2 linked regions of the Saccharomyces cerevisiae S288C genome follow. Changing the gene in region 2 together with the main gene of any one other region gives a genetic interaction. Each region holds a gene or a part of one and is shown on either strand. Other genes may lie near its edges.

The links. A genetic interaction does not mean that the proteins touch.
Region 1: mutations in YMR317W (region 2) and ERP5 together harm fitness more than expected from each alone (negative genetic interaction), as found in Saccharomyces cerevisiae (2 studies listed by BioGRID).

Annotation. Positions count from the first base shown.
Region 1 is NC_001140.6:330,161-333,420, reverse strand, and holds ERP5 (Erp5p), read right to left. Parts: upstream 1,140-3,260; coding exon 501-1,139; downstream 1-500. Other genes in the region: UBA4 (Uba4p), read right to left, coding at 1-349; CTM1 (cytochrome c lysine N-methyltransferase), read right to left, coding at 1,354-3,111. UniProt on the Saccharomyces cerevisiae protein: Involved in vesicular protein trafficking.
Region 2 is NC_001145.3:905,407-911,286, reverse strand, and holds YMR317W (uncharacterized protein), read right to left. Parts: upstream 3,924-5,880; coding exon 501-3,923; downstream 1-500. Other genes in the region: ADH6 (NADP-dependent alcohol dehydrogenase), read left to right, coding at 1-226; YMR316C-A (uncharacterized protein), read left to right, coding at 5,314-5,625; DIA1 (Dia1p), read right to left, coding at 5,452-5,880.

The sequences.
Region 1 (3,260 bases), on a different chromosome or scaffold from region 2:
TGCTAGAATCATGAAGAACCTGCCTATGCAAATTGGAAGTCTCCACCACATCGTTATCTACTATGCCTATTTGGCCCACGCCAGCGCCCGCTAAGTAGGGCAAGGCGGGACATCCCAAACCTCCAGCACCAACTACCAAAACTTTTGTATTTTTCAACTTGACTTGACCTGCTACACCACCTGTTTCTTCAACAATCATTTGTCTTCCGTAACGTTGGTATTCTTCCAAAGATAATGGGTAGTCGCGGCTGCTGTCTTCTCTCTTGGCAAGCTGCTCTCTTAATTGTGCATTCTCCAATCTTAATGCTTCAAGTTCAGACGTGGTATCCTCGAGATGGTAGTCATTCATTGTTATTGACTTCTATTTACTTCCTTTTGCAGTCAACGGCATCAGCTTAAGTCACTCTTATTACTAAGCTAAGGAATATTTCATATCGAAGAGCTCATTGCACCGATTCGTAATGAGCGATATATAAACTCTATATAACAAACATGGTATATTATACTACCTTCTGTTTGACAAAGAAATTCTTGAGATAGCGTAGCTGGAAGGCACAGGTGCCCAGCAATATGAGAAGTTGGAACACAGACCACGTCATTATCTTGCTGTTAGCTGATTCACTTTGATTTCTGAATTCTGCCTCTTTTTCTCTGATAGCGTCTTGCTCCTTACGAATAGAAGATAGCCTTTGAGTCAACTGGCCTACCCTCCCCTTAAGTGAATTCATATCTTCTTTTTTCTTGCTGTCAAGCGCTTCAACATTGCCAATTTCTAGTTCGATGAATACTCTTAGTGTGGCTGATTTCTTGCTGTAGAATGGAGTGAAGCAAAATCTATGTTCACCTGTGTCTAAAGCTGTAAAAGTAACATCACCTGTGTGTGAGTTTTTTTGATTTAGGACACGATGGTCGTTATCGAATGTTTCATCGACAGTTATTGTCAGACTGGATTCAGGGTCCTCTTCAAACAGACCATCCTTTTCTACATATAGGTCTAAATCCCCAATCAGTAGGTTTCCCCGGGATAAGTGTTCATAGAAGCATTTGGTTTCCCCGGACTTCGCATAAAAATGGACAGCCCCTACAGCTTGGGTAATAGCAAATAATAGGCAAATTCCATGCACTATATTATATTTCATAGTAGCCTGTGAGACACCGAATGCTTGATGTGTTCCCTTAAGTAACTAGTAGTATTACACTACAAAGCTCCTCTTTTTTTGTCTCAAACGGAAAAGAATAAAACGCGAGAAAGAGACAGTGGAAAAACGCGTCAGATTGTTCTTTGTGATGCTTTTAATGTAGAAGAAAGGACAACTAAAAACATTTATATACAAGATCGTAAGTGGTACTCATCTAGTCATCCTGAAAGAAAGCCGCATATTGGCTTACCTCTTCTTGAAAAAAATCAGTAAACCTGCTGGGTGTATAATAAGAAAGATCCTCACAAATTGGGCTTGGCTCCTGCTTATCCGCAGAGATCTCTATGTAATCATCTAAAAACCTTAGAGGGGGGAGCCGTTCTGGTTCGGTGTCCAATGTAACATTCAGATCGCTGAAAAAAATGGTAGAGCTGCTATCGATAGCTTTTGCTAAGTCAGCAATTATTTCCAGTTCCTGCTGGTATAATATGCTTGCAACTTTTGAATCACTGGTAGGCCTAATAATTTTGGATCTACGAAACTCTAAAAATTTACGAAAGAAACTGGTAAACTGGGATTTGGTTTTGGTTGAGTCTTGCATTTCTTCTTGTTTAAGTACAGCGACCGCATCTTCACTGCATATATGTCTTTGCCGTACACAATCGTTTTCTGTATCTTTGTAACGCAATGACCAAGCTAGTGGCGGTAAATTTATGAAATCGTCACCATTTGACTCTTTCTCTTTAATGAGAGAGCGGTAGTTTTCTGCAATCATTAACGCATGTTCGTTGGCCTCGGGATTTATCAGACAATGGATTTTCGTGAACATCAAATGACATGTGGAATCGTACGCCCACCGAGCAATTTTGCCATCATCTATCGATGGAATGAATGGGAGCAAAAGCATATCAAATTCAGGCGTGGTGTCATTGAGAAACCAGCGAGTCTTTCCGTTGTGCTCGTATTTAACTAGTGGTACCACTGGATTTATGTGCATCCATTTGTAAAACAATCTTAAATTTGTAGTTTTATCTGGTCCATCATAGTTTCTTAAAAAGCACCTGTCAAAGGATACAGTCCAAAATTGGGAATTCCCTCTAAAATCTGGGGTGAATCCATATGTTACAAGCATGGAAAATAAATCCTCTGTTGGTGAGTAACTAATGAAAACTTCAATAGGTTTTGTGAGTTCACTTTGGACCGCTTTTGTATCCAATAGAAGTAAAACGTCATTATTTGAAGGGTCGATGTCAAAATAAGCATTTTTTTGGGTGCCTTCATGGTTGGCAAAATCTACAATAGGGACTAAAGTAGAATGGACCGTGAATTCTTCACTTTTGGTATCGGCCCTTTCTGGTATCTCTAAACAACGTGAAATTATTGCAGAATAAAGATGTTTGATATCACTTAAATTCAAGACGTCGTGAAACAGTTCTTTAAATAAATTTAGCGTCTCTCGAAGGCCAAAAATCTGTGGATAATGTCCATAATCAGTAGCTAAGTTTTCAATAGAATCCATGGCTGTTTCTACTTCAATGCTCATTAAAACATTTTCTAAATAATATTGGATATTTTCGGGAATCTCATAACGACTACGAATAGTTTGAAATATCATGAAATAAATTATGAGTAAATTTGTTTCTGTCAGGAACACACTGAAATTCGGATGAGCCATTATTTCACGAAGAGCAATCTTAATTTTGTCATTAGTTCTTTGAAATTCTTCCTTTGAAGAAAATTCGTCCTCATCTCCCAAGAGAGCCAGAAGTGTGTTTATATTAAACGTGCAGCGCTTAGGGATTCGGAGCAATTGGATAGTTTCACTTTTCAATTCATCATTCTTGAACTTCGAAGGTTCTACGAAAAGGCCATATCCACTTTTGGGGTCATCAATGGTGGATGGTTTTAATGAAAGGCTTTTATGAATGAAGATATTTCTAGAGTTCGAGTAAAAACGGAACACTTCCTCCATTTCAACTTTCCTTTTGGTTAACTTCGATTTTTCAGTGGTTATGAGGATGGCGAATTATACTATTTCTCTTTTTTTTCCTTTACACGATCTAGCATTGCTAACTACTTTTGATGCATGAAAACGCAACATATATTAGTAAGTGAAATATG
Region 2 (5,880 bases):
AAAGCCATATGGCTTAAAGGCTGTCTCCATTTCTTACAGTGCTTTAGGTTCCATCAAAGAATTGAACCAACTCTTGAAATTAGTCTCTGAAAAAGATATCAAAATTTGGGTGGAAACATTACCTGTTGGTGAAGCCGGCGTCCATGAAGCCTTCGAAAGGATGGAAAAGGGTGACGTTAGATATAGATTTACCTTAGTCGGCTACGACAAAGAATTTTCAGACTAGGTTGTCAAGCTCTTGATAAATGTAGCTCCTTTCTTTTTAACTGCTCCATGTTTTGGGTCTGTATATAGGAGTGCTGTTTTAATCGATATAGGTTACATTTGAAACTTTTTTTTATGATTATAAGGTACTATTTAAATATTTACAACTCGTACAGTTCTCTTTTGTTTTTTCTCTTTTTCTCCTTGCTAAGCACCTTTAAGGTGAAAAGAAACACATATCAATACACTAACAAAAAAGGTGCACGTTCATAGGGTATCGGACAATAACTATATTACTAAGCTACCAAAGCAATAGCGCCAATAACAAAAGCTTTCATGTTAATGTTCAGGGATGCACCGGTATTTTCTTTTGCCGTGCTGACAGTATATGTTGTGCTTTGTTTAGCGGATGAGGATGTTCCATGAATCGCTGCCGTAGGTTTGGTGGTAGATCTGTTTACCTTTTCAGTGGATGAACTTAGTTGTGATGTTAATAGCGACTTTTGGCTCGAGACAATTATCGTTTCAAGGGTAGTTTCACCCCTCCCGATCGGACTTTCAGTTGAAGATTTCGCAACAGTTGATGTGTTTTTCGCTTTAGTGGTTGATACTCCTTCTGAATTTTTAGTTGACTTGCTTTTTGCTCCCTCTACAGATGTGCTTCCTGTACCTTGACTTTCTGATGGGGAAGTTGATGGTGAAGCATTCGTTGCAACGGATGTATTTCCTGCAGCTTTACTTTCTGATGGGGAAGTTGATGGAGAAGCCTTTGTTGTTGGTGAGGTTTTTTCGACAAAAGATGACGAGCTCCTCACCGTTTCTGATCCTGGTTTAGCTTTTTTAGTTTCCTGAGAAGTCTTCATATCCTTAAAACTTTCCGAAAACGTGGACGTTTCGAAATTACTTATTTTAGTGCTAGTGGTATGTTCTGCCTCATCTCCACTTGTGGTCGATGTTACTTCTTTTTCTGGGCAAGTAGTAACAGTAGAAGCATCAATATCTGTTATAGTAATAAGTGTGGTTGACTTTCTATTCTTGGTGCAACCACCCGAACAACTTGTAACAGTTCCTATGGCAGTAGTCTCCCTACTTACGATTACTGTTTTGGTTATGTTGTAATTAGGAGTAGGGTTGCTGCAATTGACTGTTGAAGTTAAAGTTTCAATTTGTTTAGCAGTAGCTAGAACAGTTGAATTAAAGATATTTCTGGCATGAGCGGATGTTGAACTTAGGGAAGAAACAAATGTAGTTTTGTTAGGGAGTGATGTTGCAATTCTAGAGGCAGTTGAGGAATTTCCAGACCTGTCGATTCTGGGTGTGACCAGGATGGAGCTAGAGGTAGTTGATTTGCTTACAAGTTGTGCACTGGATGTTGAAGGAGCACTGAAAGTAGTTAAATTGTGGGCCGCTAATGAGGAAGTGACGTCGCCACTCGCTAATGGCACGCTGGAAATGCTTGAAGTGGATTCAGTAATGAAACTAGCTGTACTTGGCGAAGGTCTAGCAGAGGTAGAATTATTTATAAATGGGGCACTTGTGGTCATACTGGAAACGGTTGAAGGAGCCTCTGAAGTAACCAAAGTGGAAGTAGTTGGAGAGCTTTCAGGTGTCGAGAAACTATAACCTGCCAATGATGAGCTAACGACAGTTGAATTAATTGCGAGTGACGCACTACTGGTGGAAAAGCCGGGAGTTATCACCGAAGTATGAGAGCTCATGGAGCTAAATGTGCCTGTTGGAACGTTAGAAGCACTTGTAGCGTTGGATGTTGATAAAGAACGGGCAGTAGCTTTATTACTCAAAAGCGATGTACTAGATGTGGCCAAATTGGATTCGTTTGTAGTTTCAGAAGAAGTTATACTAGAGACAATTGATGAAACGACTGAGTTTTTTGTTTTGGTGACAATCAGCGAGGCACTTGCAATGGTGGAATTATTGTCAGATGGCGCACTGGAGCTAGCCAGGTTAGAGGAAATTGATGAAGCTTCCGAAGAGGTGATATCAGACCAGACCGATGGAAGTGGAGATGCGGTTAAACTGATAGACGCTGATGGAGAGGTTGTAACGGTAGAACTATTGCCGAATATTACACTAGACTTACTCAAGTCGGAGGAAGTAGATGAGGTTTTGGAAGTGGCCATTCTGGAATTACTTGACGAAACCTTAGATCCAAGTGTACTAGATGCGGCGGATGTTGTGGTAGAAACGGTCGAATTGTAACCCGTCGACAAAGAGCTTTCAATGATTGAATTGCTTGCTAATGTCTCACTAGAAGGTCTTAGGCTAGAAGTTACTGACGAAGCTTCTGTAGCAACCAAAGTAGAAGTAACTGATGTATTTTTAGAGCTAAACAGTCTAGAACTTGCTAAGCTGGAAATTGCCGATGGAGCTTCCGAACTCACTAGGCTAGACGTTGCCGATGAAACTTCTGAACTCATTACGCTAGATTTTGTTGACGAAATTTCCGAACTCACTGAGCTAGACGTTGACGATGGAGCTTCTGAACTCACTGAGCTAGATGTTGACGATGGAGCTTCTGAACTCACTGAGCTAGATGTTGACGATGGAGCTTCTGAACTCACTACGCTAGACGTTGCCAATGGAGCTTCCGAACTTACTGAGCTAGATGTTGTTGACGAAATTTCGGAACTCACTGAGCTAGATGTTGACGATGGAGCTTCTGAACTCACTACGCTAGACGTTGCCAATGGAGCTTCTGAACTTACTGAGCTAGATGTTGTTGACGAAATTTCGGAACTCACTGAGCTAGATGTTGACGATGGAGCTTCTGAACTCACTACGCTAGACGTTGACGATGGAGCTTCTGAACTCACTACGCTAGACGTTGCCAATGGAGCTTCCGAGCTCACTGAGCTAGACGTTGCCCATGAAGCTTCTGAACTAATTACGCTAGACGTTGCCGATGGAGCTTCTGAACTTACTGGGCTGGAAGTGATGGATAAAATTGTAGAGGAAAATGGTAGGGTTTCAGAAATAGTAGAGCTTGCGGGGCTGGAAGTACTTGATAGTAGGGAAGAAACATCGGACGTGCTTGAACTAAAAACTTCCTTTGAGGCATCGGAAGTAGTACCAACTGAAGTGACAGCCGATCCTGAGGAACTTATCTTTGGAGAAGATGAAACGTCAGTAAGCGTGGTAAATGTGGAGGATGTGACTGCAGTTGTATCAGAAGATGAAGCAGTAGTTTCAAGGACAGAGGACTTTCCCAATGGCTCCGAAGAGGAACCACCTCCATTTGATGAACTGGTTTGCGGGGAAGATGTTTGAATAGCACTACTACTTATGGAGTCAGTCTCTGTAGTGGAGCTGGACAGTTGTGCATTTGTGGAGGAAAGCGCACTGTATGAGTTTGAGGGGCCAGAGGTTGATGATTCGACATCGTTGACTGATGTACTAGAAATATCGGATGATGTGTAAGAAAGAGAAGAAAAAATGGAAACCAATGACTCCGATGATAGAATTGAGGCAATTGTATCAGAGGAGAGCGACGAGCTAGAAGTAAACTCGGGTACAACAGAAGAAACTAATGTGCTAGAACTACTGACAATAATTTCTGGGCTAGTTGTAACTTTAGTGCTTGTCGTGCTTGTCGTGCTAGTGGTAGTAGGCGTAGTTGTACTGGTTGTGCTACTAGTAGTAGTCGTGCTACTATGCGATGTGGTAGTGGCTGTGGTCGATTTTGAACCAGATGAACCCATTTTGATACGGCGCTACCCTTTCTTGTGGATACCTTTTCTATGACAGAATCATTGACAAATCTGAGGGAACAAAATTACCACAGGTGTGAGTGAGACTTTATATAAAATTAATATTTCATTTTTAGCTTTGTTCCACTTGAGAGGAACATGGGCAAAGATAGAGACTAAGAAAACATGTTTTCAGAACTTTACTGTTGACTGCTGAACAGTCTTAGCAAGATGCTTATTTTTACGTGAGTTCTAAGTCGCCGTGGACTGACACCTTCGCTAAATTCACAGGCAATGATCGCAAACGAGCTTCATGAAAAAAAGTTTATTTTGGATCAGATCTGCGCATGGTCCAGAAAATTCGCCTTAACGAAAGGTACACAATTTTGCATTAAATGTCAAAAAAAATAGAATATGCGATACAATTATACCTGAGATGAATTTAGTAAAGTAGGTGCAAAAGATGGTATAATACTTGAGCTACATCTGGGAAACTAAAGCACATTTTACGTTCAAAGCGAATAGTAAATTAGAGAGAACAGTTGCGCGTGGAAGGCACGGGCACCGCTAAATCTAAAGAAATTACATACTATTTCATTCTTGCTGTCATTTTTTCCTCATTAATCACCACTTTTAAGCAGGATATAAGAATAAAAAACTCGATTTGAATAAAAACTATGCTTTCCTTGGTACATACGTCCTTTTGAGTACATAAGTAATGTCAACTGTGTAGGAAAGAGGTGACGTCCTAGGCTCGGCTGTGTGATATTACTTTTTAGAACCTTTTTGATAGAGGCTAAATGGTAAGGAAAGTTAATTTTATTCGAATTTTGGGCCACCTCTCTTAGAAAGGATTACTGCTAACTTCATAGTGTCAGATCACTCGTGTTTGTTCTGAATAATGAGGCAGGCGGTATACGAAAGAAGATATCCTGCTTATTTGGCTCCTATTGTTCAATTAATTAATCGATTGGCCAACGACTTTCCTATCGTATAGAAGAAACTGTTTGAAAAAAGATGGCTTATCCAGGAAGGCGCCTGAACAAGTTCTTGCTTCCCACAGTAAAGAAAAATCAAAATGGCCGCCATAGCGGTGCAGGAAGGTCTTGCCTATCGAGGATATTGTTTTTACTCCAAAAGGAAAGAGGAAAGTTAACAAAATCAACTTTTCAAACGGAGAGTATAACACCCGGAAGTTAAAAACTGTGAGGAAGATAAAAAGAAATCTTCACGAAGTTTTTTCCATTTTGGTGATCTAATGAAGTCAGCTATCACTTTTTTGCGCTACGGGCTTTATGTGACGCAATAGCCCGTGCCACTTTAAACTTTTTTGTGCCTTGGCACCTTTGGCAGTATACGAAGAAGATCAATTAAACAAGAACGACGAGATCTCGGACAAGATATGACAGGGTTTAAAGTTTCTTCTTTTTTTTATATTCTGGCATTGTCCCGCTTTTTCAACGCAGGAAGGGAACGAGCTTGTGATAAGTTAAAAATTACAGTTACACATCTATACTGGTTTATTATACGCAAACTTTTGTTACATGAGGTTCATGTTCATGTTAGTCGTGTTTGCAACGTTTCTTTTATTTTGTCTCCTTGCCTCTTTCGCAATTTTTTTACGTTGTCTCTTCATGTACTCTATGTAATGTATGAGCAGGCTCTGACACCCGAGTTCTTCCGTCAATGGTGGGATATTATTCAATCCAAATGATCCTTGATCTGTGGAATACTCGCCAAGAATTAAGTGGCCCTCTTGAGCGACCCACCTAAAAAGAGATGTTTCAAATTCTCTAGTATAATGAGCTGCCACGAACCTCTGAACTTTTTGATCCTTTTGGTCGATGGACATCTTATTTTTAGCGGCTCTAATGACATCTTCATCCAAACGATTCACTTCATAATCTGCTAACAGAATTAATTTATAATGATCGTTGGTAACTACGGGCGAATAAGTGACATGCCACCT